Lepisosteus oculatus: one gene and its partners. The protein of the gene in region 4 interacts with the protein of the main gene of each other region in a biochemical or structural test. Links are inferred from orthologs where the notes say so. Each region holds a gene or a part of one and is shown on either strand. Other genes may lie near its edges. The genes, in order: ctdp1, supt5h, ccnt2a and cdk9.

What was found.
Region 1: of the proteins of cdk9 (region 4) and ctdp1, one has a biochemical effect on the other in vitro, tested with the Homo sapiens proteins (3 studies listed by BioGRID). The link is inferred for Lepisosteus oculatus from reciprocal best matches to the Homo sapiens genes CDK9 and CTDP1.
Region 2: of the proteins of cdk9 (region 4) and supt5h, one has a biochemical effect on the other in vitro, tested with the Homo sapiens proteins (4 studies listed by BioGRID, with this or other methods). The link is inferred for Lepisosteus oculatus from reciprocal best matches to the Homo sapiens genes CDK9 and SUPT5H.
Region 3: the proteins of cdk9 (region 4) and ccnt2a form a complex in vitro, tested with the Homo sapiens proteins (4 studies listed by BioGRID, with this or other methods). The link is inferred for Lepisosteus oculatus from reciprocal best matches to the Homo sapiens genes CDK9 and CCNT2.

What each region holds. Positions count from the first base shown.
Region 1 is NC_090705.1:15,800,140-15,807,163, forward strand, and holds the start of ctdp1 (RNA polymerase II subunit A C-terminal domain phosphatase), read left to right. Parts: upstream 1-4,012; 5' UTR 4,013-4,528; coding exon 4,529-4,833; intron 4,834-7,024. Other genes in the region: adck5 (uncharacterized aarF domain-containing protein kinase 5), read right to left, coding at 1-149, 297-382, 1,861-1,884. UniProt on the Homo sapiens protein: Processively dephosphorylates 'Ser-2' and 'Ser-5' of the heptad repeats YSPTSPS in the C-terminal domain of the largest RNA polymerase II subunit. This promotes the activity of RNA polymerase II.
Region 2 is NC_090698.1:2,281,204-2,288,673, forward strand, and holds the start of supt5h (transcription elongation factor SPT5), read left to right. Parts: upstream 1-4,460; 5' UTR 4,461-4,567; intron 4,568-5,556; 5' UTR 5,557-5,576; coding exon 5,577-5,657; intron 5,658-7,036; coding exon 7,037-7,178; intron 7,179-7,470. UniProt on the Homo sapiens protein: Component of the DRB sensitivity-inducing factor complex (DSIF complex), which regulates mRNA processing and transcription elongation by RNA polymerase II.
Region 3 is NC_090707.1:3,431,831-3,439,233, forward strand, and holds the start of ccnt2a (cyclin-T2a), read right to left. Parts: upstream 3,006-7,403; 5' UTR 2,791-3,005; intron 2,508-2,790; 5' UTR 2,355-2,507; coding exon 2,197-2,354; intron 1,208-2,196; coding exon 1,126-1,207; intron 370-1,125; coding exon 241-369; intron 1-240. Other genes in the region: acmsd (2-amino-3-carboxymuconate-6-semialdehyde decarboxylase), read right to left, coding at 3,377-3,439, 4,798-4,896, 5,119-5,291, 5,541-5,636, 6,253-6,346, 7,012-7,248. UniProt on the Homo sapiens protein: Regulatory subunit of the cyclin-dependent kinase pair (CDK9/cyclin T) complex, also called positive transcription elongation factor B (P-TEFB), which is proposed to facilitate the transition from abortive to production elongation by phosphorylating the CTD (carboxy-terminal domain) of the large subunit of RNA polymerase II (RNAP II).
Region 4 is NC_090719.1:14,318,189-14,325,093, forward strand, and holds the start of cdk9 (cyclin-dependent kinase 9), read left to right. Parts: upstream 1-3,891; 5' UTR 3,892-3,980; coding exon 3,981-4,021; intron 4,022-4,205; coding exon 4,206-4,319; intron 4,320-5,326; coding exon 5,327-5,408; intron 5,409-5,716; coding exon 5,717-5,807; intron 5,808-6,205; coding exon 6,206-6,372; intron 6,373-6,905. UniProt on the Homo sapiens protein: Protein kinase involved in the regulation of transcription.

The DNA of each region.
Region 1 (7,024 bases), on a different chromosome or scaffold from region 4:
TGCCAAAACGGCCCAGCCCTTCAAACAAGATTCTCATCCTGCGTCTCTCCCGCGGCCCTGACAGGGCGTACTGCACTCCCAAGACCAGCGGCACGCCTGCCGCAGCGCCCACTAGCACCTTCTTCAGAAAACCCCTTCTCCTCATCGGCCTGGGGAGACACATCAGCCGTTACCATCTACCGCTCCAGTTCTGAAGTTTCTGTCCAGGTGCCGTTTCCGAGGACGCCTGTTGCTAGGACAGTACACACAATCCACTCTCCTCCAGAAACATCTTGCCAGCAGACGGTATACATCACCTTGCAGACCAGGAGCTCAGATGGGCCAGTGGGGCAGAGCCTGGGTTGTGGTGCAACAGTGCCCAGTGGCGCTGACACAGCCGCAACTGCAGGACACAAAAACATAGAGCCACTTAATCCAGAGCCAGACGTCTTTCTGTGTGCTGGAACACCAGACCAAACTGTTTTTTTTAAAAAAAAAACCAAAACAATTCACAAAGCACAACAATACACATTACACCAGAGCGAGCAATATCTTAACACTGCCAACAATATAGGGGTGTTTTTTTAGAGAAATTCTTGCTCTCAGAGATCCTTTTCAATTCAACCTGATGAAAATATCCTGGACCAATTCCCTATGATCAAAAGCCCTTGAGGACAGTTAAGGTTTCCGAGTTTTAAACTTTGCAAATCCCATTATGCAGAGCACCACACCCATAAATGGGCACAGTAATCAGATGATGAAGGGCTTTCTTTTTCATGCAAACAGGGTGAAATGTTTTTAGAAGCGGCACGGTAGAGAGCAACTGCTAAATCAAGGCTGCTGGTGTCCATTCAGAGGCACAGTTGTTTTTATTAGCAGTTTAAGAGAACATCTTGTTACAAACCAGATGATTTAAAGATAGCGCTTCAGTGTCAGGGACCTGACCCGAGACAGTGGGATCTGTCTCATTCTGAAAGAGCCGATATGAAGGGGAGAAACTGGGAGAAAGCTGAAAGTGTAAGCGAAAGGAAGGACAGCCCTTTTTTCTCCTTGTCTCTTCACTGACATTCACCCTTGTAAGAGTTTCGACACAAGGCAGCTTGTAACTTGCCCTAAGCCATGTATTGAAGCTGGAGGGGACAGATAAGGTTCTATTAGCTTCAAGTCAGCAAGCAAAAAAGACCGACGATCGTTTATTCCACACCTTATGTTATTAAAAAAGATTCCCGGGGATTGTTCCTTTCTAAAGGCTGGTAATAATAACTAACGCGACCAGTGCTGTTTCCGCATTAACAGTTAAATGGGTGAACAGCAGAGCAATAAGACATGCGGTAACACTACAATGATGGTAAAAACAGTAACCAATTTGACGTATTAACGTGGTTGGAATATTGTATTCTACATATACATTAATTTATGGTACATCAGAAATATTAAAGGGGAAGACAGTTAATTCTTAATTACCCTTTCGTCTGCTACAGACTGATGCATTTGGCATGATCAATACAGCGTGCAACTGTGAACTGGGAGCTTTGCGAATAATTGTTCTTGCTGTCATTACACCAGCACTATCAAAGACTAACCTCACTTGAAGACTGCGTCTTCCAACTGACACCCATTATCCCTTTTTAATATTCATAAAACTGCACCGAAAAAAAATACTACCCGTTCTGTCTCGGTACCAGCGAAATCTCACACGCATAAAAGCACGACACTAGAATTTAGAATATTTTGCAAAGTGAACTTGTCACGAGAAAGCCGTCATTTGGCACTACTACGGACTGCATTTCTTTTCTTGCCCGTTGAAAAAGTTGTCAACCACTTTCAAAAATGCAACTCGCTAAACCCTTGAAGTGATCTTTACTGTGTTCATTCGCTTACCGCTCTGAAAGTATCTCCGGCCATGTCGCTAAGGAGAACAATGTGTAAAACCAGTCTATGCCCGGACAGTATATGGAAACGCAGGCTGTGATTGCCAGTCGCCCTTTGCCTATAGTTAACGAGCAAGGACTCTGACGCCTCCCCTCGCTATTGCCAGGCTCGCCTTACACACGCACTGGGGTCATGTGACACGTGGGGTGACTGACTAGCGTGAAGCTAGCGTCGTTAAGCGACGCTAGCTTGGCAGCACCTTTCAAAATAAAAGCGTGACTCCGGAGCTGGCAGCTGATTTACGCGTCACGTCACGTGGACGGGATAAGACTTCCTGCTCTCCTTCCCGGTTGGGGTTTTTAAATTTGTGAAGGTGCCACAAAATAAACGAGGGAGGAGGTCCATACACCTTTTAGAATACCGCTGCCTGTATTTATAGTGTAATCTTTATCAGCTATAGATTTGTGATTACCGTTCCTCCCTGGCCTTATTTATTAAGGGTAGCGTTTTTGTAATAGGTAGAAACTTGGTGCAGAAAAGGACAGCGCACTGAGGTGGTTTTAATCTACAGTTTATTTCGAATCAGAATATGACAAACTGCTGCTCTCAGGTGGGATGGATTGGTTTTGGGTTCTAAAAATGAGGCCATACTGGGCCAAAAAGAGACTTTATAACTGTCAGTGAAGTACTTTAAAATGAACCCATTTTATTTGGAAAAAAACATATAATTAATTTTTTAAAAATCAGTTTACTAAGAAGTAAATGTGCCAGCAAGAGCCCTTACAGATGTCATGTTTCATGACGTCAAAGCTCGCGTTAAAATGTGTAAAGCTTGGGCTAAGGGTTAGAGAACATGCAAACTGTTTCTGCTTGTTTACATTACATGTTAGGGTGGTGCTGTGGCTCTGTGGCTAAGGATCTGCACCTCTGGCTGGAAGGTTACCGGTTTGTATCCCATGGCTGGCAGAGAAATCCTACGCCTTTGGGCCACTGAGCAAGTCCCTTAATCACAACTGCTCCAGGGGCACTGTATAAATGGCTGACCCTGCACTCTGACCACAAGCTTCTCTCCCTGTCTATGTGTCCCATGGAGAGCAAGTTGGAGTATGTGAAAAGACAAATTCCTAATACAATAAATTGTATATGGCCAATAGAGTGATCTTATCTGCCAAATGTTTTCCCAGACTTTTCTATATAAATCTTTCTGCATTTCCTTTATGGTTTCTATAGTAACTGCTTATCCTCCTATTTTATTAGCATCATATGTATACTTGACTCATTTATTCTCTATAACAGGCCAGAATACAGGTCATTCTGTAACAGTAGGAGGAGCCTCAAACACCCCATCATAGGCGTCTTAAGTCATTGTCTCCTAGCAACAGATGTGTCGACTCACAGACATTCACAAATTTCAGAATGATTACTGTCAATAAGACATTGAGAACCTTTATTCTTTCTTTATAATGCAATACTTTTGAAGACCAAAATATTTCATTTCAACAAACAGGTAAACTAACTGAATGTAATGAATATGTTTAAGCTTCACGGCCGTCATCAACATTTGTTCTAACAAATAAGGATGCTTACATAGATAAGTGTAACAGCTCATCGTTTTTTCATTATTACCAGTAGGTTAAAATATGAATTAATTTAAGACCAGGAACAATATACATTACATAAAGCAAGACACTAACAAAGAATACTGTATTATGCTCTTTTTTAAGAGGCAAACTGTCACCAAGGGGCTTAGCATCAAATTCAACTGTCAAATTGGGCAGTATGTCAACATTTCACGATGATTAATACGACTAATACCGTTTTAAAAGACAGGGTAACTTTGTATAGCAAAAAGTGGTAAAATAATTTTAACTCCAGTAACCGCGAAGTTGTTTTTTCTCTCAGAAACTATGGATGATATCTGAATTACTGAATTACTGTCCAATTCCAGGACCAAGATTTAAACAGGTGCCAGGCCGTGAGCATACACCTTGTCCTCCCGCAGCAAGCCCGGTCCTACCGCCGCCTACCTCAGCACCTGGAGCACCAGGGGATTCAGTATCACGCTGTTACATCACCTTGCATCATAATTACAGTTTTGTTGCCAAAGCTTACTCCAAGTCCTGAAAAGTAAACGAAATTACACAGCAATTGTGGATTATGTTTGGCACACTATTATACCTATTTAATGCCCCCAAAACCTAGCACTATTCTTAATATTTCGACGCACGTCCACTAGCAGGATAAAAAAAAATATCTGTACAGCTGTAAAAAAAAGACCTACTCTGTACCAAATCGCTATCCCATTTAAAAACGTCATACTGAACTGGGCGAAAATATAAGGTGCTTAATGATAGTGCCTTCCCGGCTTCGCGGAGCCGGAGCTGCTGTGAGGCGCTTCCCCCTGCCTCCTCCTCCACGGCGGCGGCGTCGTCTCCCGGAAGCGGTGCGGCAACCTGCTGCCTCTCGGAGGCTTGTGTTTCCTGTTGACGAGCGGGAAGAGCGAACCTGAACGCTTTGGTTTCATCTGCTGCTGCTCTCTGGTTTCCACTTTTCGCTTTCCGATTGCTGTCTCTTTAAAAGTGCAGAGAGCCGCCTGCAGTTCCGATTCGATCTGCAGCGGTTCAGGGCGCATCGCCTTCTCGGCTAAAGTTTGGAGGGATCTGGGGGTGCGACACGGATGGAGGACCCGGCAGACTCCGGCGGTGGTACCGCAGCTCTTGCGGGCCCCTCTAAGCAGGTGACGGAGATCCGCTGCCCGGCGGGGGCCCGTCCCCTGCGGCTGCTGGAGTGGAAGGTAAAGCCGGGATCGTATGTGAATATCGACTCCGTCCTGGCGCTGTGCGCCCCGCTCCCGGTGGAGAGGGAGGCCGGAGCAGAGCCCCAGGGGCCGCCGACTCGGTCGACGGAGAAGAAGGTGAAATCGGACCGGGCCGGCGTGGTCAGAGAGCTCTGCTGTCAGCTCGGACAGGTCGTTTCTCCGGGGTAAGTGGTCAGTTGTGGGCTGGGGGGACATGAGGGGGATTGCGGGTAGAAAGCGGCGCTCAGTAGTCATGCTTTGCAGAAAATGAGTGTTCGTGCTCGTGTTGATGTATCGAGGCGCTGCAGGGGTTTAACTAACTGTCCGAAACGGGCAGAACTTTGTAGGAACACACTTGCAAATTGATGTAGTCCGGAGAAAAGTTGCTTAAAGAGAAAGCGGGGTGATCATCAGATCACGCAACTGCGCGGCTTGTTCTCCTGTACGAGTGTGGATGAAGTGTACGGGGAGTGTTGAGTTAACTGAAAACTTATAACTTCGTGGTCCAAGATTGAAAATAAGAAAAGCTCAAGTTGTCTGGAGCCGCGTCTTGCGTTTCGAAGACAAACCCCTTAACATCTTAGTGCGTGAGACGTAGTTAAAGTTAGTGCAGACGGTCTTACAATTGTCTTTTTTATCTAGATGGCGCGTTTTAAATGCCCAGGGAAAGCGCACAGCGCAGTGTTTTCGCCAGGCCTACTGCACAAGACGTGTGTAGCTGCTTGTTGTACGAAAAGGGGGTGTGTTTGTACGCGTGCTCTTAAGGGGTAATGGCACCGTTTATGTTTTTTCCAGCCCAGATTGCCACTCGTGCCGAGTTTTGGAGTGCAACAACGCTTGGGTCTTCCCGAATTGCCACCGACGAGCATTTTGTTTTGCAGAGGACGAGTCGCAATAGCAGCGTCTGTGGAAACTGCTCACGGGGTGGGGGGCAGGGCCGCGTGCTGGAGCTGTCAGCGTCACGTGACTTAGTATTCTGTCAACATTGCCGCGTCGAGCTAAAGCACAGCCGGGCGGTTTATCATTCACTTAGTTCTTCTGTCAAACTCTGCTGTTACTGTCCTAATCTTAGGTGCTGTTCAGATTGAGATTGTAATGGTTCATTGACGTGCTGTTTTCCAGTGAGTGGTCCCAAACCCTGGTCCTGGGTGCTCCCTGTCTCTCCTGCTTTCATCCCAATTGAGCTGATCTGCTTGTTCTTTTAGACTTGTGTTTACATATTTATGTATTACGTTCTTAGTTACTTAATACACCTGTTGGATACTCAGCATACAGAACAAAGCCCTTAAGAGTTCGTGCCTTTTTTTCTGTCTGAATAGTTCTTCATATGTGATCGATGTTTGATGCACAGACAGTTGGGAGTGACACTGAATGTTTTTTTTTTCTTGTCTGCTGAGGTCCACTTGCTTACATTCCAGTAGCTGTATTGCCCTGCAACTCACTGGAGCTCAGCAGGTCTGAGCCTGGCCGGTACCTGGATGGGAGACCTCCTGGGAAAGCTAAGGTTACTGCTGGAAGACGTGTCAGTGGGGTCAGTAGGGGACACTCACCCTGCAGTCTGTGGGGCTCTTATTGCCCCAGTATAGTAAAAAAAAAAAGGTGCTGTACTTCAGATGAGACATAAAGCCAAGGTCCTGACTGTGGTCATTACAATCCCAGGGTATTTCTTAAAAAGAGTAGGGTTGTTTAACTGGGGTGTCCTGGCCAAATTTCCCATTGGCCTTTACCAGTCATGACCTCCTAATAATCCCCATCTTTGACTCTGTTCTCCTCCCCACTAATAGCTGGTGTGTGGTGAGCATACTGCCTTACTCTGGCTGCCATTGCATCTGAGTCCCCATTACCTGTAAAGAACTTTGAGTGGAGTCCAGAAAAGCTCTATATAAGTAAGCAGTTATTATTCCAGTCCACACAGCTGAATGGGGGTGATATCTGAACCTTAGAAATTGGTAGAGGTTTTAGTACAGTTGGTACAGTGTTTTGAGACATGAAAGTTTACCTCAACTAGAAGATTGATCAGTCTGTGATTAAGAAGTCAGATGGAATAAACTAAACACTGGATTATTCACTAGAGATGGTCAGTAAGCAAATGTAGCAGGGAACGTATAGGTTAGGGAGGGGTGTTATGAAGTTAAATTCAAAGTCTGTAAATGATAATGCTAATATCATGAGAACGGTTATAAATAAGAGGTCATCCTGTCCGTTTGGTAATTAGTATCGGCTTCAACAACATGATGGGGCAGCTGATTCCACACTCCCTCCACTCTTTGTGTAAAGAAGTGCCTCCAGTTCTCGGGTTTAAATGTATTTACACATAGTTTCCACTTCTGTCCTCTGGGTCGTGCTGCTCTGTTGATTCAGAAGCCATCCACTGCA
Region 2 (7,470 bases), on a different chromosome or scaffold from region 4:
ACTGCAGTAGATCCTGCGCAGCAGCAACCCATGCTGAGTGATGCCGAGATGGGGGCGTTTGTTTGAGCAGTCTGCCTGGGCGGAGTTGTCATGCCCTCCCTGGGCTCATGAGGGCTTTGGCCAGGAGCTCCAGTTTTATCCCAGGGACGCGGCACTAGTGTCCCATCTGGGGAGATAGTGGTCATGTGCTCAGGCTCATCCCGCTGGGAGAGGCTCTGGCTACCTGCAGAGTTCGCTGGGACAAGCATCACATTCCCCGATTCTCCATGTACAGCCCCTGGCTTGACAACACAATGATCTGGATGTGTTTATTTCCTCCAGGGCCAGAACCTGACGGAAGGGGCTCCTTCAGCCCAGAATTTGAACTTGGTGCTTGGAATTCACAGATCATACTGGCAGCCCCTTCGTGTGACATTGTTGAAATCCTGTATCTGTGGAAAAGCAAGACAAGACCCAAACTTACCCCAGAGGAAAGTTTTTCTGAGCGATGACTCACTGGGCACAGGGCTGCGCTAATGCTAAACATGACAGGGAAATACCTCATAGCAACGAGCCAGCAGATTAATCCCATGTCGGGAAATCAATGTTTTTAAATGCAATAAAATGTTTTAAACATAAAAGCAGTGAGCAAAATGAAGGTTTTTCTTCTTTTTGAATGATTGAACAAATGCCCCCCCCCAAAAAAACAAAAAAGGCAGTTAATCTGTGAGACGATTTAAAGTTGCTTTTGTGTTGAAAGAATCGTGAAGAAAGCCTTTATTTTCAGGAAGTATTCCAGTTTGCTCCCTTCTCTACATATTTCTTTAATTATACAACTATTTTGATTTCTGTGAAGTTGGCACAAAGCCATTTAAATCAAATCGGGAACGCTACAGGATGTCTGAATGCTCAAACCCAAAGCGCAAACAATGTACTTTGTTTTTAAATGTAATGAAATGCTTAATACATAAAAACAGGGAGCAAAATAAAGTTTTTTTTTTGAAGAGCTGTAGCCTAACTTCATCTGACACTGTGCCCCAGCCAGCACATACACAATATCACACATTTTGTGCCACAAAAGGAGCCTTCTGTCTTTACTGGCTCACCACCAGGGTGGGCCTCATTCACAGTGGACAGTGACTCAGCAGGACAGCTGATGTTTTATAGAGCCCTGGAACTGCGCGATTTAACAAATGCCCCATTTAAAGTTGCTTTTGTGTTGAAAGAATCGTGAAGAAAGCCTTTATTTTCAAGAAATATCCCAGTCTGCTCCCTTCTCTAAATATTTCTTTAATTATACAACTATTTTGATTTCTGTGAAGTTGCACAAAGTCATTCAATTCAAATCAGGGACACTACAGGATGCCTGAATGCTCAAACACAAAGGAGATACACTTTTCAAAAACTGCTCAGGCCAGTATAAGCCGACTGTGTCCATAACCTGGATGCCAATGGGCACAGAGCAGGATAGACCTGCCTTGGGACACTAATACATGGCAGGACACACACAGGACATGCAGGGGCCAGATCTCCTTACTGGCCAAAATATTAGGAATGAGAGCATCCTGAGTGACTAAACCAGTAAAGTTTCTAACCTGGGTACTGGTTAAGCTTGATGATCACGGGTTCGAACCTCGGTCACATCACTAGCTAATGACCGGCAGCCATATCACTCTGCAACTCACAGCTGGCAACCCCCTGAAGCCAAGTAGGTCTGAGCCTGGTCAGTACCTGGATGGGAGACCTCCTGGGAAAAACTGAGGTTGCTGCTGGAAGAGGTGTTAGTGGGGCCAGCAGGGGCGCTCATCTTGCGGTCCATGTGGGTCCTAATGCCCCAGTATAGTGATGGGGACACTATAATGTAAACAGGCGCTGTCCTTCAGATGAGACGTAAAACCGAGGTCCTGACTCTCTGTGGTCATTAAAAATCCCAGGGCGTTTCTCGAAAAGAGTAGGGTTGTTACCCCCGGCGTCCTGGCCAAATTTACCATTGGCCCTTACCAATCATGGCCTCCTAATAATCCCCATCTCTGAACTGGCTTCATCACTCTGCTCTCCTCCCCACTGAGAGCTGGTGTGTGGGGAGCGTTCTGGCGCACTATGGCTGCCGTCGCATCATCCAGGTGGGGCTGCACACTGGTGGTGGTGGAGGGGATCCCCATTACCTGTAAAGCACATTGAGTGGTGTCCAAAAGGCACTATATAATTGTTAGCAGTTGTTATTATTAGTTAGTCATGCTGACTCTGTTCCCAGCAACGGGGACCCCTGTGGCCTCCTGCATGCTTGCAGGCTGATGTAGCTGCTGTTCAGGGGAGCGCCTCTCCTCCAGTCAGCGTTTGACTTGCACTCTGGAGCGAGTGATCGTGCTGTGGAGGCCCCAGAGTGTTGTAAACCCTTCAGGTAGTACCCCTGGCAGTAGTTTCAGGGCTTGTATTCTCTCCAGCTGCAGTGAGTGAAGCTGAAGGTTTTCTGTAGCCCTGGTTCCTGGAGTGGGGTCTCTTCCCCCCACAGCTCTGGTCCTCTGTTACAGCACTGAGTCGCCTCAAAGGTGTAAAAAGACGAGCAGGTGGGTGTGGTTGGGGTCTGCAGTTCCTCACTGTCCTGTCAGTGCAGTCCTGCGGCCCAGTCCCCTCCCATTCTGTCAGCAAGAGTGGGACTGGAGTGTGTCCCTAGAGTGGGACTGGAGCGTGTATTCTGCACACTGCTGGATCTCCAGTTTCTCTGTGGGGCTGAGATCAGGGTTATTCCAGGAAGGTGATGAAAGCCTGATGCAGCACGAAAATAACCTGCCTGCCAGATAAGGAAAGGTTCACTCAAGGGTCCCAGCAAAACTTCTGCTTTTCTTTTCTTGGCTGAGCACTGAGGAAAGAAATCTGCTCCAGGCTCTTCATGCTTGGCTGGCAGGAGGAGCGACACAGAAAAAAACTTTGAAAAACAAAGAAAACAAGCACCGGGATCTGGAACAATTGGAGGTGTGTGTGAGTGCTGGTGCTGAGCCAGTGCTCGGGATGTGATTTTCAGTCCCAAGTGAAGGAAGTACAGAAAGGGGCTGAGACAGAGGGAAACTCTGTTGCAGCAAGTGGAGATGATAAGATCACTTTATTGGCCATTGACAATTTCTTGCATTAGGAATCTGTCTTTTCACATACCCCAGCCTGCTCTCCATGAGGTGGCACACAGACAGGGAGAGAAGCTGGGGGTCAGAGCGCAGGGTCAGCCATTTATACGGCACCCCTGGAGCAGCTGGGGTTAAGGACCTTGCTCAGGGGGTCCAAAGGAGTAGGATTCCTCTTTAACCTTAATCCTTAACCCTAATTCCAGGGGTGCAGGATTTGAACCAGCAATCTTCCAGCCACAGGCGCAGGTCCTTAGCCACAGTGCCACCACTCCGCCCCAAATGGCGATGGTGATGATGATGATCCTGATGAAGACTGTGCTGGTCCAGGGCTGCTGGCTTACTCTGCAGATTGGGAGGCATCTGAGCAGTAAGAGCATAATGTAATGATCCTAAGTTTCCCCCTTTATCCCACACTTGGTATTATTACACACACTTTAATTGTTGATGTGAGGGGAAAAAAAAGTGGTGATGAAAGAGCCCTAGATGTCAAGAGTGGGTTCCTCCTGATTTATTTTCTGCTTGACGTTGACATTAACAGGCTGCCCTTTTTTGCTTGTGGGGTTGAAGTAAACCAGGAAAAACAGAGGCTGAATGAAAAGCCGTGACGAAGCACAATACACCTTTCACACTAAATGGACAGAAAGGCCTTGCTGGGAGAGACCGACTGCTGCGGCCGGTAATCAACAGACCAGTGGCAACAAGCCACGCCTGCGAGCAAACCGCTGTGTCATCGCCAGACTTTGGTCGAGCCTGCGGAGTCCCGAAAGAATGGAAAGTTCAGTACAAGCTAAAAACCGAACATGAACTGGAATGAACTGGAGTTCAGTGCACTGCACGTGACAAGCATACTCTCCAGAATATCTGTGCAATGCCACACGGTTTCTCTTATCAGTGCAGCCTCCCGAGCCTCTGAAGGTGTTTTCTGCTAGCACAAGCAGAGAGACCTCCACTGCTGCACTCACGCCCATAGAAGGAAAGACAGACAGACCCACACATCCATAGGAACCAATACTCTGTCTTTTCCTGCACACTTGATTATATAGCTACCTTTAATTAGAGGGTCCCCAGAATTACAACTGCATAACATTTACTCATTTGAGTTTCTATTGTTTTTATACAATGCAGCCAGTTACTCTTATCCACAATCAAATGAAAAATCCCAAGTGAAAGCACATTAAATAAAGATGAATATGCAAAGGCGAAAAAGAGAACGGGGAAGTACTTTAAATGTCGCAATCTACATACCAAGGCAAAAAAAAATCAAATATACTTGATGTACATACAGCTTCCGCTACCAAGATGGCGCTCAGAGCCAGTTGACCTTTCTAATATGGCGTCTTGGTGAGGACAGGAGCATGTCTTTCAGTGTGTTCTCGCGATAGTTCCTTTCAGTCTGTGCTGGAGTGGTGATGTGTGTTTATTAACTCAACGATTTTTTACATATTTCTCAGTTTGCGGTAATTTTTAAGGTAAGTGCTCTTTCGCTGCAATTTAGGCGTCAGATGCCTGTATTAATACCATGATTCGTGCGACTAAGTACGTATGTATTTCTTAGAAAGAGGGTTAGGCTTAGGCTTAATTTCAGGGCCTAGCTGTGAGTTTTCTATAAGATTCGTGCCTGTTATCAATCTCAAGGTGTTTAACCTCATAAAATATTCTTACGTGTTGCATTAATGAAATGAAAAAACGATTAAACTTGGTGTGTCAAGATAGATTTTCGCGTACTTAATATAATTGTTTACGTATTTGTGCATGGCCGGTACTACTGTATTTTATATTAATATAGCTTCCGTTAATAAATTCCGTATATCGCTCATGTCGCATACCGTTTTTCTGTTTTAGATGTCTGGTAGCGCGTAGCTTAATTAAAAAAAGTGGAGCACGAATAAAAACAAGAATGAATTGGAATGATGGAGAGAGTTAGAAGTCGTAGCTAAGTCGGTTTGTTTTTGCCTTGAGAGCTTCTCTCTTCATGCGGAGTCACAAGTATCCGCTGCCTAAACAAGCTGAGCTCCTGATTCTGCAGGGTTGTGTGGTCTTTGACGTGTATTTCGACTTATTTCGAATATTGACGTCATTGCTGAATTTGCTGGCGTTTCCAGCGGGGAAAGTTTAAAATCCAACACTCAAAGATCCCACAGTTCTGTCAATTTAGTACTTCAACGTCAACACAGTTGACACTGGTCCAGCGCAGCCCAGATTAAAAAAGACCACACAGCAGAAGCAACAAAACGCATATTACCCTTACACACAGTATTCAATCACTACAAGATCTGCATATTGAGGTGCCTACTGCCGCTTGAACTGGAGAAAAGGCAGTTGTTCCAAGGCTCTAGAGCTGGAGTTGTGCTAGTCAGGATGATGCCTGGGTGAGGACGCACAGCGAGCAGGTTCAGCCTTCAGCCTCGGTGTTTACAAACTGGTGGTCCTACAGCTCCTTCTCCCTGTTTCCCACTAGCCGGGGGTTGTGCTGAAAGGATGTCGGACAGCGAGGACAGCGACTTCTCGGACAACCAGAGCGAGCGCAGCAGCGAGGCGGAGGAGCTGGAGGAGAATGAGGTAACGGTGGGCGCCCTCCCCTGAACCCCTGATCGATGCACAGTCTCCGTTTAGGCCCGGTGTTCTTTTACCCTGCGCTCACTGGACAGCGAGACTGGACAGGGCGGTCAGAAGAAGCTGCTCTGTCCGGAGAGCTGTGCCACTGCAGGGGTCACTGAACTGAGGTCTTTTTCGCGGTCAAAGAAGACGGGGAGTCGTGTGTTCGACGATGTGTGGCGGTTGTGTCCTTTTCTTCCCTACCTGTGCCAAGTTTCTTTGGAGTGTGCGGATATTATTTTTTGAAGTTTAGCGATCACCCCAGTTGTCCCATTAAGTGGTGGTGAAGGGGCTGCAGAAGATTGGCTTCTAGCTGGAATCTGCACGGCCTGTCCCATGTCCTGCCTCTGCTCACAGATTGTTCTGCTGCCACTAAGACAGCTACCTGACCACCATTTCTTTCCCTTCATCCTCAGTATGTGGTCTGTGACACTAACTCCTGCCGTTTAATACTTTTCAAAAGTTCATCCATTTCAGTGCAAAAACAGCCAAGTGTGATTTATTATTGATAAAGAAACACTTTATATTATATAGCGCCTTGAACGGTGGCCTATCAAAACACTTAGTGACACTTAGCGCCTCGTGCACTGGGATTCCTATGCATACTGATGGCTTTAAAAGAAAAAGAGCTGTCTGTTTTTAAGCACAGTGTGTTATAACTGCTTAACACAGTGTTGTACCCTGAAAGTTTTCAGATTTCCCTGCTATCAACGACTGTGCTCTCTGACTAGCTTTTCCTTCCTGCTTCTCTGCTCTGTGCTTGGGCGCAGCTGGGGTACAGGGATGTCGGTTTGCTGGGAGGCCCCGTCTTGGCTGGCAATTAAACGTTAGCAGTTGGCTCAGACCTGCAGTTATCCTGGGTCCTTCAGCTCCAAACTTGTTTTCGTCTTGGCAACAAGAGCGCAGAGGTTAAATCAGGTTGTTAATTCAAGTTAGGGCATAACCTGGCGCTTCACTGTTAATACACCCAGAAAGGAAAGGTGTTTGTGTAGGTCTTGGGGAGGGAACAGTGACTCTGGTGCAGCTCGTCCTGCCGGGGTTTGAATCCTGTGCTGGTGGCAGGCCCAGTACAAGGTGCCGATCGCCCCGCCTTCGGGCCTCCAAGCACAGAGCAGAGTGGGGATTGTGCCCGCAGCTCCGAATCAAAGCGCAATTCCAGTCTTGGAAGCTGTCGAAAGGCAAGACGGAGGGTTTATTTGTGTGCTCTGGACCGCTGTGCCGGAAGGCAGGGGTTTGGGTCGGGCCCTCCCTGGAGAGCGGTTCTGGTCCGGTTCTGCAAAGCGGGAGGGGTGACTTGTTTGTTGCTGGGTGTGTGACGGCCCGCTATCGTCCTGCAATGGCAGGAGGAAGAGGCCCAGGCCAGCGACAAGGGAGAGGAGGAGATAGAGGAGGATGAGGAAGAGTACGATGAGGAGGAAGAGGAGGATGATGACGACCGGCCCAGGAAGAAGCCACGTCACGGGGGCTTCATCTTGGACGAGGCCGGTAAGATACCTGTGTTCCTCTCTCTCCCTCGGCACTGGGGGTGTCTCTGTGCCACTGGTTCATTGAGAAAACCATTTGAAAATATTTTTTTATGGTAATTCTGGAGCAGATAAAAGAAGGGATTCAATCCTCTGCCCAAATTCAATGTAATCACCTTCTTTTCTGTCTTGTTACCTTCTGCTCACCTGTGAAATTGTGTGGTGCCCCCCTCATTCTGGGGTACAGGACAGTGAGGTGTGCTAGTCCTGTAAGTGTCAATTCTGCTTCTGAACCAGCATTCAGTTGTTGGTTC
Region 3 (7,403 bases), on a different chromosome or scaffold from region 4:
GAGACACTTTATGCTGCAACAGTTTTTAGCAGTTCAAAAGGAAAATCAATAGAATCAGACAATGCCCAGGAAAACAATGTAAACCAAATGAGACTTCCTAAAAGCAGTTTTCACTGAAGTAGCCTTAAACCAGGGAGAAACCCCAAGGACAGCACCTAACAACATCGAAACATTCTGCGATCAGTCTGTTAACAGTGCCGCAGGGGTGCATGAAAAAGGCAGAGGCGTGGTCATACTTACATCACTCTTTATATCGAGCTGTGCCTCTTGAGGATTTAAGCAGGCATGTGCTACTTTGATGACATGTTCAAGTTTACGCGGCTGCTCCTCAACTTTGGCAGCCAAGAATAACGTCGTTGGAGAAGTGATCTGCAACACACAACAGCAGCCACACTGACGAGAGGCCAGCCAATTAACACACTCCGGGGAGAGGGGGAGGGTCCTTTGAATCGTTACTGTCATCACAACTTTTAACTAAATCAGCCTAATTCCCCCCCACCCGGGACAGAAGAATCTCTACCGGTCTCGTACAAAAGAACATGGCTGATAAGAGCCAGCTGGGCTGGAGAAGAAGACCTTTCTATTGTGGAGACCATCTGCCTCTCCTCCTCGGCTCCAGTGAGGGGGGGCTGGATACCAGTTATGTTAAGTGGCATTTTCCCCCATCCTGAATGAAGGCTACTCTACTATGGAACAAATAATGGAATAAACCTCTGCTGAAGAGAGAAGAGAGAAACCACAACGTTTCGACTGTGAAGTCTTCTTCAGCCTTCTTCACACCTGAAGAAGGCTTCACAGCCGAAACGTTGTGGTTTCTCTCTTCAGCATGGAATAAACCCTTTACTTGTTCCTTTGCAGACTATGCGGAACTACTTGTCTTTACCATTATTCATCAGGCCCGTTAGTCTTACTGTCCACTCAAGGTACCAGAATAAAAACAAGGGCAGGTCATGCCTTTGCTGAAGACTCCCGTATCAAAGACCCTTAAGGTCAAACGGGGAAAGCCACACCAACCGCTGAACTACATCTGGCATGTTTCTGCCACAGGATATCGTACTTCTACGTCGAACAATTCACAGATTTAATTAATTGCAGAAGACAGTAGAGAAACTCGAAAATACTTACATTTCTGTGGAACTTCGTGAAAGAATGGTACATATAAAACCTATGCATGTAAACGATTGCAGTGTTTATCGTCAGCTGGGAGCTGGACACTGCGGTTAAGGAGAACGGTCAGTCGAGGTAAGGCTCTTCATCGTTAAAGACACTAAACACGGTATCCTCCGTCTCCTTTTTCAGGAGGACGCGATTTTGCTTTGGTTATCGATTGACCCTCGTCACTTGCTCTTGATCCCTTCGAGTCACTAACAAAGCCATAAAAAAAACATCAACCAAAAGAGCCCCCTTCCCCCAAAATAACACGACAGAAAAGAGGTAAGAGCAAATCGCACCGTCGCAGCCACTGATACTCCATTATTGGCGTGGGGGAACACGGCCTGGGACAACGGTAAACCTCATCAGCACGGCCCTGCCCCCCTCCCCAAAAACAAAACGCCATCAAACACGAATTGGGAAGGTTATCGCGCGTCAGGGATTACTAATAAGGTTCCCACTCGACGCTGCTAACGTTAACTCGTTTCATTTCCCTCCCGGTGCCCCCGAAACAAGGCTGCAATGCAAACAAGGGCCGGCCTGCAGCGGCAGCTCGGGGCTGAACGAGCGCGACAGAGATCAAGCTCCTTCAGCCCGGCGCCGCGCCGCTGTCCCCTGCACACCGCCCGGCCCGCAGGGCGATCAGCCCCCCGCCGCGCAGAAACGCGACTCCGGACTCGTCCACGGCGGACAACCGAGGCTGACGTGCGTGGGCCCCGGCGCGGGGTTATCAGCCAGCCCCAGGCCGGGCAGCAGCGGAGCCGAGACCGGACCGGTTTCAGCACAGCGGCTCGGAAACCCCGCAACCCCTGAGCCGCAGGGTGATCAGCAAACCCGCGAACACGCACATCGCCATCCCCCAGACGCGTAACGGCGAAGTTTTAGCCCTTTAAAAGCCGGGCCGCAGCCCCCACCCAGCCACCCACCACCCACCACCCACCACAGAGGAAAAGAGGGGCCTACAAGAGCGCCATCTCTGCCGAAGCCTACAGGCCCCTCGTCGGCGGGTCTGATGCAGCTCAGACGTGCACAAGAAAAGGATACACGTTGAGTCTCTGGCCCATATCTTGAATAAGGTTAGCCGCTTGTTGTCGGTAGGACAGCTCCTTGTCCGGCTCGACTCCACAGCGGCGGGACGGCGTGGCTTCCAGCTGCTCCCGGGTGAAAAACCATCTCGAAGTGGAGCCCCGGCACGCCGCCATCGCTCCAGCATCACACAGGAACAGAGGAGCGGCACGCCGCCCAGCGCGGAACTTACTGCGTCACCCGCGCCGGAAACGCTCCCCCGCGCCCGTGGGCTCATGGGAAATGTAGTCAAGGACCTCAAACGACTGCTGTGTTTTTCGCTAGATTGTCTAAAAAGAAGCACGGAGTCTCCTTTCAACAAATCGGTTTATTTAATACCGAATGCGAAGAGATATTTAACGTAAAATAAAAATAGTAGCCTAATATAAGGAAGAACTGCACTTCCACTTGTATAAGTCTGCACATTTGTATTGTTTTTTTTTCTCTAGAGAACTAGTGTAACTAGAGAAACGCAATCGCTTCAGTACCTAATACATAATGGCAACGTTTAATTGGAAATATTTTTAACTTCACACCCGTTTGTAAGTCAAAACTGGAGCAATAACTTCTTACCTTTGGAGTGCTGTAACAGTTCCAATACAGATACGATTAATACTGCTTTTGTAGAAGAGTCTATGCTTAAAATTTCGGACTAACAAATTGTAAATGACAAAACAAATCTCTTCTGTTCTCAGATATCGACGATTCAAGTACATACAACACCAGCGCACGCACATGAGGCTGCAACAAGGAAAGTGTTGTCGTTTTTAAAGTACAGTACATTATTCGTCACCTCCCTCAAGTGGATGAAAGGAGAACTACACAAAACACACAAGAACGGATAAAAAAAAAACCGTTGAAGAAAAGCGGGCAGTGCATTGTGGAAGATTTATTTTTGTATGAAAAACCTACAGTGTTTTTTTTTCACATTAATTGCTTATTCGTGTGGTACAAGTACATCAGTTGGAAGAGAAGAGATGTCTTCTAGTAGAACCAAAATGTTATTTTTTATTATGTGCCGTTTAACAGCTATCAGATAGAGAAATACAGTTAATTAAATTAATTTCCATACAGTTCTATAGATCTTCAGTATGAATCACTCTGGTGATTAGAAATTTAGGTTGTAATCTCATCATGTAATAATCAGGTGTCTTTGGGATCACTCAAACTGGCTTCTATGAAGGCCCAAAAACTCCAGAGCGTTCTCTGCTAAAAGTTTATCCTGAAATACAGAAAGCACACAGACGCAAAGTAAGCAAATTGTTAAACAAAAATAGAGTAGGGGTCCGGTGCTGGTCCTTTGGGGCTGGTGTGTCTGCAGGCTTGCTAGGTCTCTTTAAAGCAACACCACCTGCAGAGCTGGGAGACGCTGTGAAATGGTTCCTGTTAAGCCCAGAACCAGCTTGTCTCGCTAAGAGCTGGCCTGGACCAAAAACCAGCCGATTCACCAGCCTCCCAGGAACAGGACTGGACACCCCTGCTGGAGACCCCTTCGCTGTGTTCTGTATATTTAACGCCTTTTGTCCTGAAGACCCCACACAGCTAGACTAATACGAGAGGGGATAAGCTACTTCAGTTGTAGAAACATTATTGAAGTAACCTGACAAAAACACATTCTAAAACAATTACACATCCTTGAGCAGCATCTATCAATTAAAATATGCAGACATCTAGCATTAATTATTTTTAAAACAAATGATACATTGTATAAAAGACATAAAACAAGCCTAGTTTATTATTGAAAGACTAAGAATTAATTAACAGTCAATGATATTTTAAAACAAATTGTCTCAGTAAAGAAAACATGAAAAGAATGAATATTGGAGATATGTAAGCTTCATTTATTAAAGTAAGATAATTATTTTTTAAAACAAATGATGACTTTATAAAGAAAACATGAAAAGACTAAACATTACAGATCATTAAGCATTGTTTTATAAGGAATAGATGCAAGAGATAATCAAACAGTCATTGGAAACGTATCTTTATGTCTGCCCTGTGCCTTTTGGACCTGTGTGCTTTTGAAGTAGTTCAAGTAGGGAGCTGTGTCAGCATGCATACAGGTAGGCTGCAAAGGAACAAGGAACTTGCAAAGGAACTTTTCTTTTCTGCATGGAATAATCCTTTACTTGTTCCTGTGTGCTTTTGTCAGGGAGTCCATTTTTGATTTACTTTGTGTAGTTGTTTGTGGGATTCAGTGGGGAACCAGATGAGATTTATAAAGCTTTGGGTGAGTTTAGAACACAGGTAAGGTGTGTAGATCATATTAAGGCAGGTTTTCAGATTAGGATGTGATGAAAGTTAAGTTTAAGATTGGCTCTGGATGGTAAGAGTTTGTTTTAGGATTGAGCTAGGGTTACAGTCTATACAGCATAAGAGTCATGGCTGTGGTGGGCTTGAGCTGGAATTTTTGCATGGTTTAAGGATTTGTGTAGCTTTTACAGGAAAGAAAACCCTTTTTTTCAGGCAAGAAGATAGATCATGGCGGGCTGTGGTTTACTCTGGGGAAAGTCATGACATTAAAGATAATATTCCAAGAAGCTGAGGAACAAAATCAGTTACATTTTAAACTGAATTCACCTTTAACACGCAGTCAAATTCACTCATTGATTCTATCAGAGATCCTGGCTCAAGTTCTCCCAGGGGAAATGGGTAGTCTGTACCAAGCATGACCTTATCCTTCAACAAAGAAGAAGAATTTTTATAAAACCGTTTCCTAGCTACAGTGCTGACATTTATCATTGCTAACAAACAGGCCAGAAAAACAGATCACTTGTAGTGTGTGCAATACTTAAACTTGGTTATCTTTTAGGTTGCATTGATGTACTGCTATATATATATATTACAGTTTATACTTTTCACAGTGCTGTGCTCTGTGTCTGGAAAGTAAAACCCTCCTACCTTTCCAACCACTTCAAGAAGAAGCTTCAGTGCCTGAGGGTCATGGACAAGGGAATCCGTATAAAACGAGCCAAGATATTTCCTGGGATTGATGTTGTTATCTACGGCACACAGATCTGGACGAACTTTAAATCCGTGCTCAATTCGTCCAATTGTGTAGGGGAAGGATCCTCCTAAATTTTGAAATATCCTGTTTATATTTAATCTCTTCAGTATGAAATTATGTCAGACAGCATTTTCTACAGACATGTTGTATTTGTATGCTTTTTAAACATATAGTATCTGCTAAATAACAGATAGTATTATTACATACTTTAGATTACACAGACTGCTTTGTGTGTGCACCATTCTGTTACAATGGCTCTGCTTCTTTCTCACAGTATATTTGTTCTCAAAGTATATTTGCGTAAGGGTAACATTACCTCCATGAGCAAAACAGACTTTAAGCTTGGGAAATTTCTCAAATACGCCCCCAAAGATCATGGAGCAGATAGCTGTTGTGGTCTCTGCTGGCATTCCTGAAGGTAAAAAACATCTGGAATCAATCCAGAGGTAAGTAACCAAAACAATACTAAGTTTAAAGGCATGTCTTCCTCTAAACGGCCAAAGACACTGGGTATTTTTAGTCTTGAACAGAGAAGTGTGTGAGGAGACCAGTACATACAGTCCTCAAAGTCAGCTGTGTAGACTTCTCCAGATTGAACACGTGAGACACAAACCAGAGGACACAAGTGGAAACTATGAGAAAGTCAATTTAAAACTGAGAACAGGAAGCTCTTCTTTACCCAAAGGGTTGTGGGAGTATGCTGCTCAGCCATTATGTTGAAGCCGATAGCCCCTCCTCTTTCAGGAAACAGCTGGATGAGATCCTTAAATCAATTCGCTACAATAAACCAGATGAGCTAGAAGGGCCAGCTTGGCCTCCTCTGGTTCACAACCATTCTGTCATCTTCTAGCAGTATCAGCCGAACTGGCTTCTGGTGCAGATAACCACTGCAGAGATATACTTCCAACACAGAATAGTGGAAGGTGTTTAAACACTCTATAGTCTAAGTGCTAAAAGACGCTGATGGTGCAATATCAGTGCTGTTTCACACCAGCAAGCTGAACATACATTAAACACATCATACTAACCCACCAGCCAGGGGAGCCAGTATTTAGACATCCTTCCATCAGTTTGCATGTCCCAGGGATGAATGAATAAGGAGCAGTTCAGCTCTTCAGCAGCCTGCACAAAGAACAATGAAACCACAGATCCCGAGGTCAGGGACCAGCAGGAGGGCTGCAGCCAGACCTCTCCATTCATGTCTGGGCAATGGGATAGGAAGACCATCCCTTTTCATTAACTCTCAGGGTAGCCAGTCAAACACATGCAAACTCCACACAGACAGGCACTCCAGTTCAGAACCGAGCCCAGGTCCCAGGAGCTAACTGCCAAGCAGCTGTTCGAACCAGTATCCTGCCACGCTTCCCAGACAGAAGGCTACTGACATGCACGTTTGTTTTGCCCACGAAGATGTGCTCAGACCTACAGTATGTAAAATATACCATAATGAAAGTGTAATAAAAGTAAGTGTAGGGCTGTTAACGTTGGTGTCCTGGCTGGTTTCCACTCTGGGCATGCACTAGCCTCTCTCTAGCTCCCCTAGTTCTCTTGGTGCAGCGGTTTCTCTCCTCCCCTGACTGGCTTTGTGGCTGGGCTGCTGTGCGTCTCACAGGTGGGGCCTGCGCAACAGGCAAAGTGTTTTGTGATGCTTTGGGCTGGAAGGCGCTGTGTAGAAGGACTTGATTATCATTGTACAAGGCATTGCTTTTCAGTTTCAGGGCATTTCAATTGTGAAGGTTGGAGACGCTGTTCAGATGTTCAGTCTCGGGCGGCGGTGCGGCCCTTACTGCATAGACTGGGCCAAGCTCGGGCGCGCTCAGGTCCCAGCAGTTGACGTGGGAGCCCAGCTGCACGCCGGGGAACCCCAGCTCCAGCACACAGCGCCGCAGCTCCTGCACGGCCAGGTCCGGGGCCTGCATGGGCAAAGTCCCCAGGCCCACGAACCGCCGCGGGCGCTGGCGCACTGTGGCCGCCAGGTCGTCGTTCAGAATGTGGCAGAGATCCAGGGCGTCGTGAGGCTTGGCCTGATGACACATCACGAGAAACGAGAAGAGCTCAGGCGATCCACGTGCCGAATTCCTCAGCTAGAATACCGAACTGGTGTATTAGTGTGTAAATGTGATCTGGTTTGTATTCAGAATGTATTACTCATTGTGCTTTGAGAGAGATTGACCAGGTG
Region 4 (6,905 bases):
GTTAGGACTTGAACTCCCTGAGATGTATTTTTCCCACTTGGGAGCTTTGTGATTTTCTCTGCTCCATGTCTAATGTTTGTTCAGTTGGCCCTGTACTATACTCATGACTTCTGCTACAATAATGGATAAAAAGTGCAGTGTTGTTCATCTCAGCAAATCACAAAATGCTTTACACGTGGAGGCATGAGAAAGCACTTCCCCAAATGAATACAGGGGAACTTCAGGAAGGCCAGACTGTACAAGACTTTAGTGCAATTTAGCCAGGGCACCAGGGTTAACACCCAAACTCTTTCGAAAAGTACCATATGACCACTTATTTAGGACTAGTTTTAACATCTCATGTGAAGTATGGAACCTACTAGTGTACAGTGTCTCCAGTCAGCTCAGTGTGAAACTGGTTTAGAAACTGTGGTCCTGAGGAGAGAGTGCCTCCTAGTGGTTCACCCGAGTAACGATCTGTGAAAGCGCTCCTGGGCTGTGAAGGCAGCAATACCGAACATATATTGAATTGATCTTACCCGCAAAAGATGTAAAGGGGTCTCAAGAGAACTTAAGATTGGTTGCAAGAACACCAGCATACGCCACACACACGGACAGTGCACCGGCAGCTCTAGAAATAGTCTAGACTTGCATCCACTGCAGAATATGACTACAGTAAAGATGCTGCCACAAAGTGTGGGAATCTCTGGGCACTCTGTGGAGCTGCGAGCATTTTCATGACCCGAACGCCAGTTTCGATGACAGAAGGCCAGCCTAGTGAAAGATATTATAAGCCAAAGTCTATAGTGCTCCTAATGGAAGCTCCACTCTGGGGTTAGCACTAGCGTGTGGAATCATTTTCAAGGACAGACTTTTTCCTTGCACTCCGATGCTTTGCCCGCAGCATTACAGAGGCCACACGACGCGATTCTCCTCTTCTCGCCTCTCACCGGGCAGAACCACTCTCTCATCCGGACAAACAGAAAAGCGAAACGCCGCACAGGACTCTACGAGAGAGCGCACGGTCCTGCCCAGTCTTTCACCATTCGCACAGGTGGAGAAGAGAGCCGCCTCGCACGATTCACAGGTTGGAACGTGCGGAGGAGACGCCCGCAAGTGAACGGCACACAGGTGGAAGATGTGCATGAACCTTCCCTATTAACAGTGGTTAATGTTCCCCTCGGGCACTGGGTGTTGGAAATTGCTCAGTCTTGGTGTCATGTGGGTGAGCTGAAGACGGGGTCCCACAGTTGCAGACGCCAGTTAGCACCTTCAAGCCTTTTGTTTTTCCCTTGTGCGCTGATCACAGTCTGCAAAGGACCTTGAAGTCTTTTGGGTGTTACAACATTCTCTGACACATATAGCAAATAAATGAGATTAGCCCACATCGAGAGCCTTAGATGTGGGACAGACAATAGACACAGTGGGCAGGCCCTTTGGGCACTTGTCCTAACAGGATAGCTGGATCAGTGAGGATTTACTGTTCAGAGGGGAGGAAGATCAGACACCTAATCATCTTAGTGACAAATGACAGAGAGGAAAAATAAACAGAATATATTGTTAAAAGGGCAAAACTCTCTTCTTAGTTTAAATTCCAGAGTAGACTGTGATTGTAATCTGATTAGATATCCTGCTGGCTCTTGGGCAGGAATGCAGATACCTTCTCAGTCAAGGATTTCTTTCTTAAAGGAAATTGAGAAAGGTAGCACGAAAACAACAAGCTAAATCTGCTTAACAGTTTGACTGGTGAATCTCATTAGTGTAAACTGTGGGGGGATGAACACATTTCTCTATAAGGATAACATCCCACCAAATCCACATGTGCAGAGGTTATTGAGCACTTATCACCCGCCGTGCCGAAGCCCGGCTACTCAATACGAAAGTGCAGCAAAAGAGTGTGAATTGGGATTTTCACAAACTGGAAAACAAAGTGAGCAGTACTGTAATTCTAAATGGAGACCAACGCTGAAATCATTCTGCTACAGGATCTACCGCTATACAACAGATTACAAATTGGTATTGTCATAATGCTCTTATTTCTTCAACCTTCTGATTTAATGCCATTTATTTAACTGTCAATTATTTCCTGGAGCAATATAAAGCAGTGCGAAAGCTCATGATCTCCAGTGTCACAAAGTATAGGTGGACTTGTGCTCAGTTGTAGAAATTCAGAGGCTAAAAACTGGAGGAAAACAGGTTCCCCGGACAAGGCTCGTTAAAATGCAAATACAACTGCGACTGTACCAGGGGGTGAAGGGAGGGTTCACACCTCCAAAGGCCCAATCAAACTCTTGACGCTTCTCATGGTCTCTTCACGCAACACGGAATTTACCCTGTGAATGATTTGGAGTTATCGTATTTTAAACAAATCTGTTACTAGGTATTTTAAAAATAAGTTCAATGCATGATATTCCAACACACAATACAAAATAGCCTGTTGACTATGAGACAGGATGTAATCATACCCATACTATTTTAAATTACTTGAATTCACCTTTAATTAATTTTATTTAATTAACTCCCTGAGGCTAATTTGCCCTTTCAGGACCTTTGTGTTTCTCTCTGCTCCAATTCTATGGCTGTCCAGTTGAGTCTGTACTATAATATTCACCATGACATGGACTATAATAATGAATATGTCCTTGAGTTTTATAGCACCGTTCATCTCAAAAGATCACAAAACGCTTTACATGTACGGTAAAAATGGGGGAACCGACGTATATGTAGAATATTTTCTTTAGAAAAAGTAGAAAATAACTTTAAAAATCATACATGCATAGGGTCTGTTTTTCCACTCTGATCGTCTTGTCAGTTCCTGCAGGAGGAAGTCAGAAGCTGAGCACGGCTGGTCTTGCTCAGTACTGGGATGAGATTTCATGGCGTAAAAGTTCAGCAGTGTCAAACTTCCACCAGTAGACGGCGACCTTCCCTCTGAACCACTAATTCCGAACCAGTGCCTCGATTAGTGATCGTGTGCTCATGGAGTTCTGGAAAAAACAACAGTTCGTCTAATGTTCAACGTCGTTCTCATGTTGGAAAACGTTTAAATACAGAGTTCGTAAAAGTTCTATGTGCTTCAAAGACAAATTCTTTAAAATCTATTTAAAAACACCCTTGGATAACTGGTTTACAGAAATTTCCTAGCATATAAATTTATGTAATGTGACCCCCTAACTTAATCTTCAAATCGATGTGGTTTGTTCTGCTTCGTTCATTTGACGTTGTCTTTGTGCTGTCGTGTTGCAGCACGTGTGAGTATATGTACATGCTTGCATTTCCATTTTTTTTTTGTATACAAAACGTAAAATGTAAATAAAAAATAGTGCTCATGTATATAATGCTTCATGTAACAGCGCCGTCCTTCGGTCAAGAACTTAAACTGAGGTCCGGACCCCTTGGTCATGAAAGATCCCATTGGGTTTCCTAGCGGGAACAGATTTCAAGGGATATACTGAATGGAACAGGACACTGTAACTTATTTATTTTGCACTAAAAGCCACTACATGCCACGGCACTGTTCATCACAGTAGAGAAGCTCACCACGGTGTCCGGGCTAAGCTCTGTTTTGGTTTTGCACAACCTGGCCTCCTTTAATTTTCCCTGCTGCGTGTCGTACCTGAATAAGGAGGGTATTAAAAAATTGTTAACGTTTACTTTTTACTTTAATAAGATATGGACGATAAATTGACTGCGCCGGTCTGGCTGTAAATGAGTAATTACTCATAAAGGATCTGCGTAACCGGTTCCTCGGTTGATGGACAGCTCCAGCGCCCACTCACAGTTCAGCTTTCCGGTTTTCAGCACTTCCAATCCGTGTAGTCATACGGCACCGATTCACCAATCAGAAGGCGATAGACCCGCCCGCGGGTTGAGCCCGGGGCCCCGTGCTATGGCAACCAACCGGAAGTGTGCGGGGAAACGGCTGCCGTAAACGCGTTCTGCGGAGGACTGCGGCGCACAGTCTCTACAGGGCAGCGGAAAGGCGTACTGCAGCTCTCGGGATGCAGCGTGACAGAGCAGGGACTTCGGGTGGTGGTGACAAGTAAGGACGTTGTTGTTTTTTTTTTTGGCGAAGATCAAACGCTTTCTTAAGATTTTCCGTCGGAGGTGAAATTCGGTTGATTCCCGGGTAGGATCACGCAGATCTGAGGCCTGAAGGAGGGTTACCTCTCGCTAGCGTGTGGGTGATGGCTGAGCTCCGTGTCTCCCTTGTCTCTCTCTCTCAGGGCCGAGCGGGAGACAGCGATGATGTCGAAGTATTATGATGGTGTCGAGTTCCCTTTCTGCGATGAGTTTTCCAAGTATGAGAAGCTCGCCAAGATCGGGCAGGGAACCTTTGGGTAAGTTTATTTTGCTCGCACGTCGTTCAACGTTTCCGTTTCCGCCAAAGTATTGTTTCGACCCACATGTGCGGCATATTGTCAAAACATCTTTTTTTCACCTCGGAAATCTCGCTCGACTACGCCCTGTGCCGTCACTAACTGTGGCTGAAAAGCTGATCAACACGTTTGTGTTCGCTCGAATTGACTACTGTAATGCTCTACTCGCTGGGGTGTCTAAATATACTTTGAACAAACTGCAGTGTGTCCAAAATTCAAAATATCAGAGAGTCACCTTCTCTAAACTCCGTCAAATCCAGACTCAAAACCTTCTTCTTCAGAAAAGCCTTTACTTAACTGTTCCATTCTTCACCCCTCTGCTTTTCTTAGTTCCAGCATCCACGGTCTCCTCTACATATTGTAATTGTGTTTTATCATGTGTATTCTTCTTATTTATTGTTGTTGTCATTCTGTAAAGCGCTTTGAGAAGCCACCTTTAAAGGTGCTATATAAAATAAAGTTGTTATTATTATTATTATTTTGATGTGCTCGGGTGTGTAGCAGTCCAGTTGCCATCTAACGCACGATCAACAATAACGATGGGATATTTTTCTTGGATTTGTCCAAGCTTATTTTGAAAGCCCCATATGTGTAAAAACTCACAGTTAAATACATTCTGATTCCATATTGTAATGCAGTAAAATGTAAGAAAGTCCAGGGGAGGTGAGTACGTTTGATAGCAACTGCAGCTGAATAGAAAAATTCCACTCCACACACACGATATGGGGAACATGTTCTGATTTGGTAAAATAATAAACAAATAGTATGGCTGTGGAGCCTTCTTTGGATGTAAGAAAGATAGTAATGTCTCCTATATGAAGTCATTTTATTTTATATTGTATTTTTATTGAAACATTACTGTAGTCAGTGTGTAATCCGAAATCTTAAAATCGGTTGGATTTCCTGGTGTTGGAGACTTGAAGTGCATTTTGTTGGTTTTTGATGCAGGTTTTGTGTTGTGTCCCCAGGGAGGTCTTTAAAGCTAAGCACAGGCAGACTGGCAAGAAGGTAGCCTTGAAGAAGGTTCTAATGGAAAATGAGAAAGAAGGGGTAAGAATCGTTTTTTCCTTTTTCGCCGTCACTGAGTAGATTGTGCTGACGAGACAAAAAAGCTCAAAGAGAGAGGCAGATGGAAAAACCAGCGTGTACTCTTCATTCCTGTCTTTTAATTCGATGCTGTCATTCCACTGTTTTGGTCATCCTTGCTTCTGTATTACGATACTGTAAAAATACGCAACTTTATAAACTGAACATAGTGAACAAATCTCCCTGGCTCCCATTTTTAAGCAGCATTTTCTATTCATTTAATCTTGAAAAGTGGAAATGCAGGTAGCACTCACTGTCACGTTCTTCTTCAGTTTCCCATTACAGCCCTGAGAGAGATTAAGATCCTCCAGCTGTTAAAACACGAGAATGTAGTGAATTTGATTGAGATCTGCAGAACAAAAGGTAAGTCCTCAGAAACTCATCAAGTTGTTTTTTTTCTGTGTACTTTTTTATAGGGCACGAGCAAATACGTAAATTGGTTTATTAAATCTTTATTAAAGAGTAGAAAACAAAAGTGAACACTTTTCAGTTGTTAAAAGGATGTAAAGCTGTTAAGAACACCCGAAACGTTGTTTTCTTTTGACATTTTGCATGAAAATAACCCTTACGTGTTACCTCATACGTAGCATAACCTAAAATAGTTTGATTATTGATATATAGATGTCGTAGTAAACAAACAGAATTGGCTATGTAAATTGTATTCTTATAGAAATACTGAATATCTAAGAATATAAGTATTTTTTAATTAATGTGCTTATTCAATAAAAAGAAAATTAAAGTGTTTTTTTTTTTAATTCCAGCCACCCAGTACAATCGATACAAAGGCAGCATCTACCTGGTGTTTGACTTCTGTGAACATGACTTGGCTGGGTTACTCAGTAATGCCAACGTCAAGTTTACTTTGGCCGAAATCAAAAAAGTCATGCAGATGTTGCTAAATGGTTTATATTACATTCACCGAAATAAGGTAAGAACTGTTTTTTGTTTTGTTTTTAAATCATTTCCTTTCTAAACCTTTATTAAATAGTTATGGACTTCTGTGAAATGTTTTGTTTTTACATTAACACTTACAAAACATTGAATCGTTTCCCTCTTGGTTATGCAACAGACACTTTGCGTTCAGAATTCAAAACCTTGCATGCTAAAGGGTTTATGTGTTTGTTTCTGTTGTTTTCAATGTTTTAGCTTTCTTAGTGCTGTGATTGCCTTTAGACAGTTGTGGTGGAATATGAAACTTTCTAAGAATCCCAGATCTTGTTTGTAAACCGTTTCACCCTGTATTATCAGGGAATTTGTAGCGACACAAGATTACTTAAGGACAATAAAACTTGAAGCTGGTATGCTGTTCTTGCTAGCTCTCCAACCTCAATTCCACTTGATAGGAGAGTGAAACACATGCTGAGAGATGACTAGGACTGATAGTGATACACTGATTCAGTTGTAAGACAGAATGCCCAGAGTATGTGCTACTGTGCTACTGTGAGTATGAACACAGTCAGT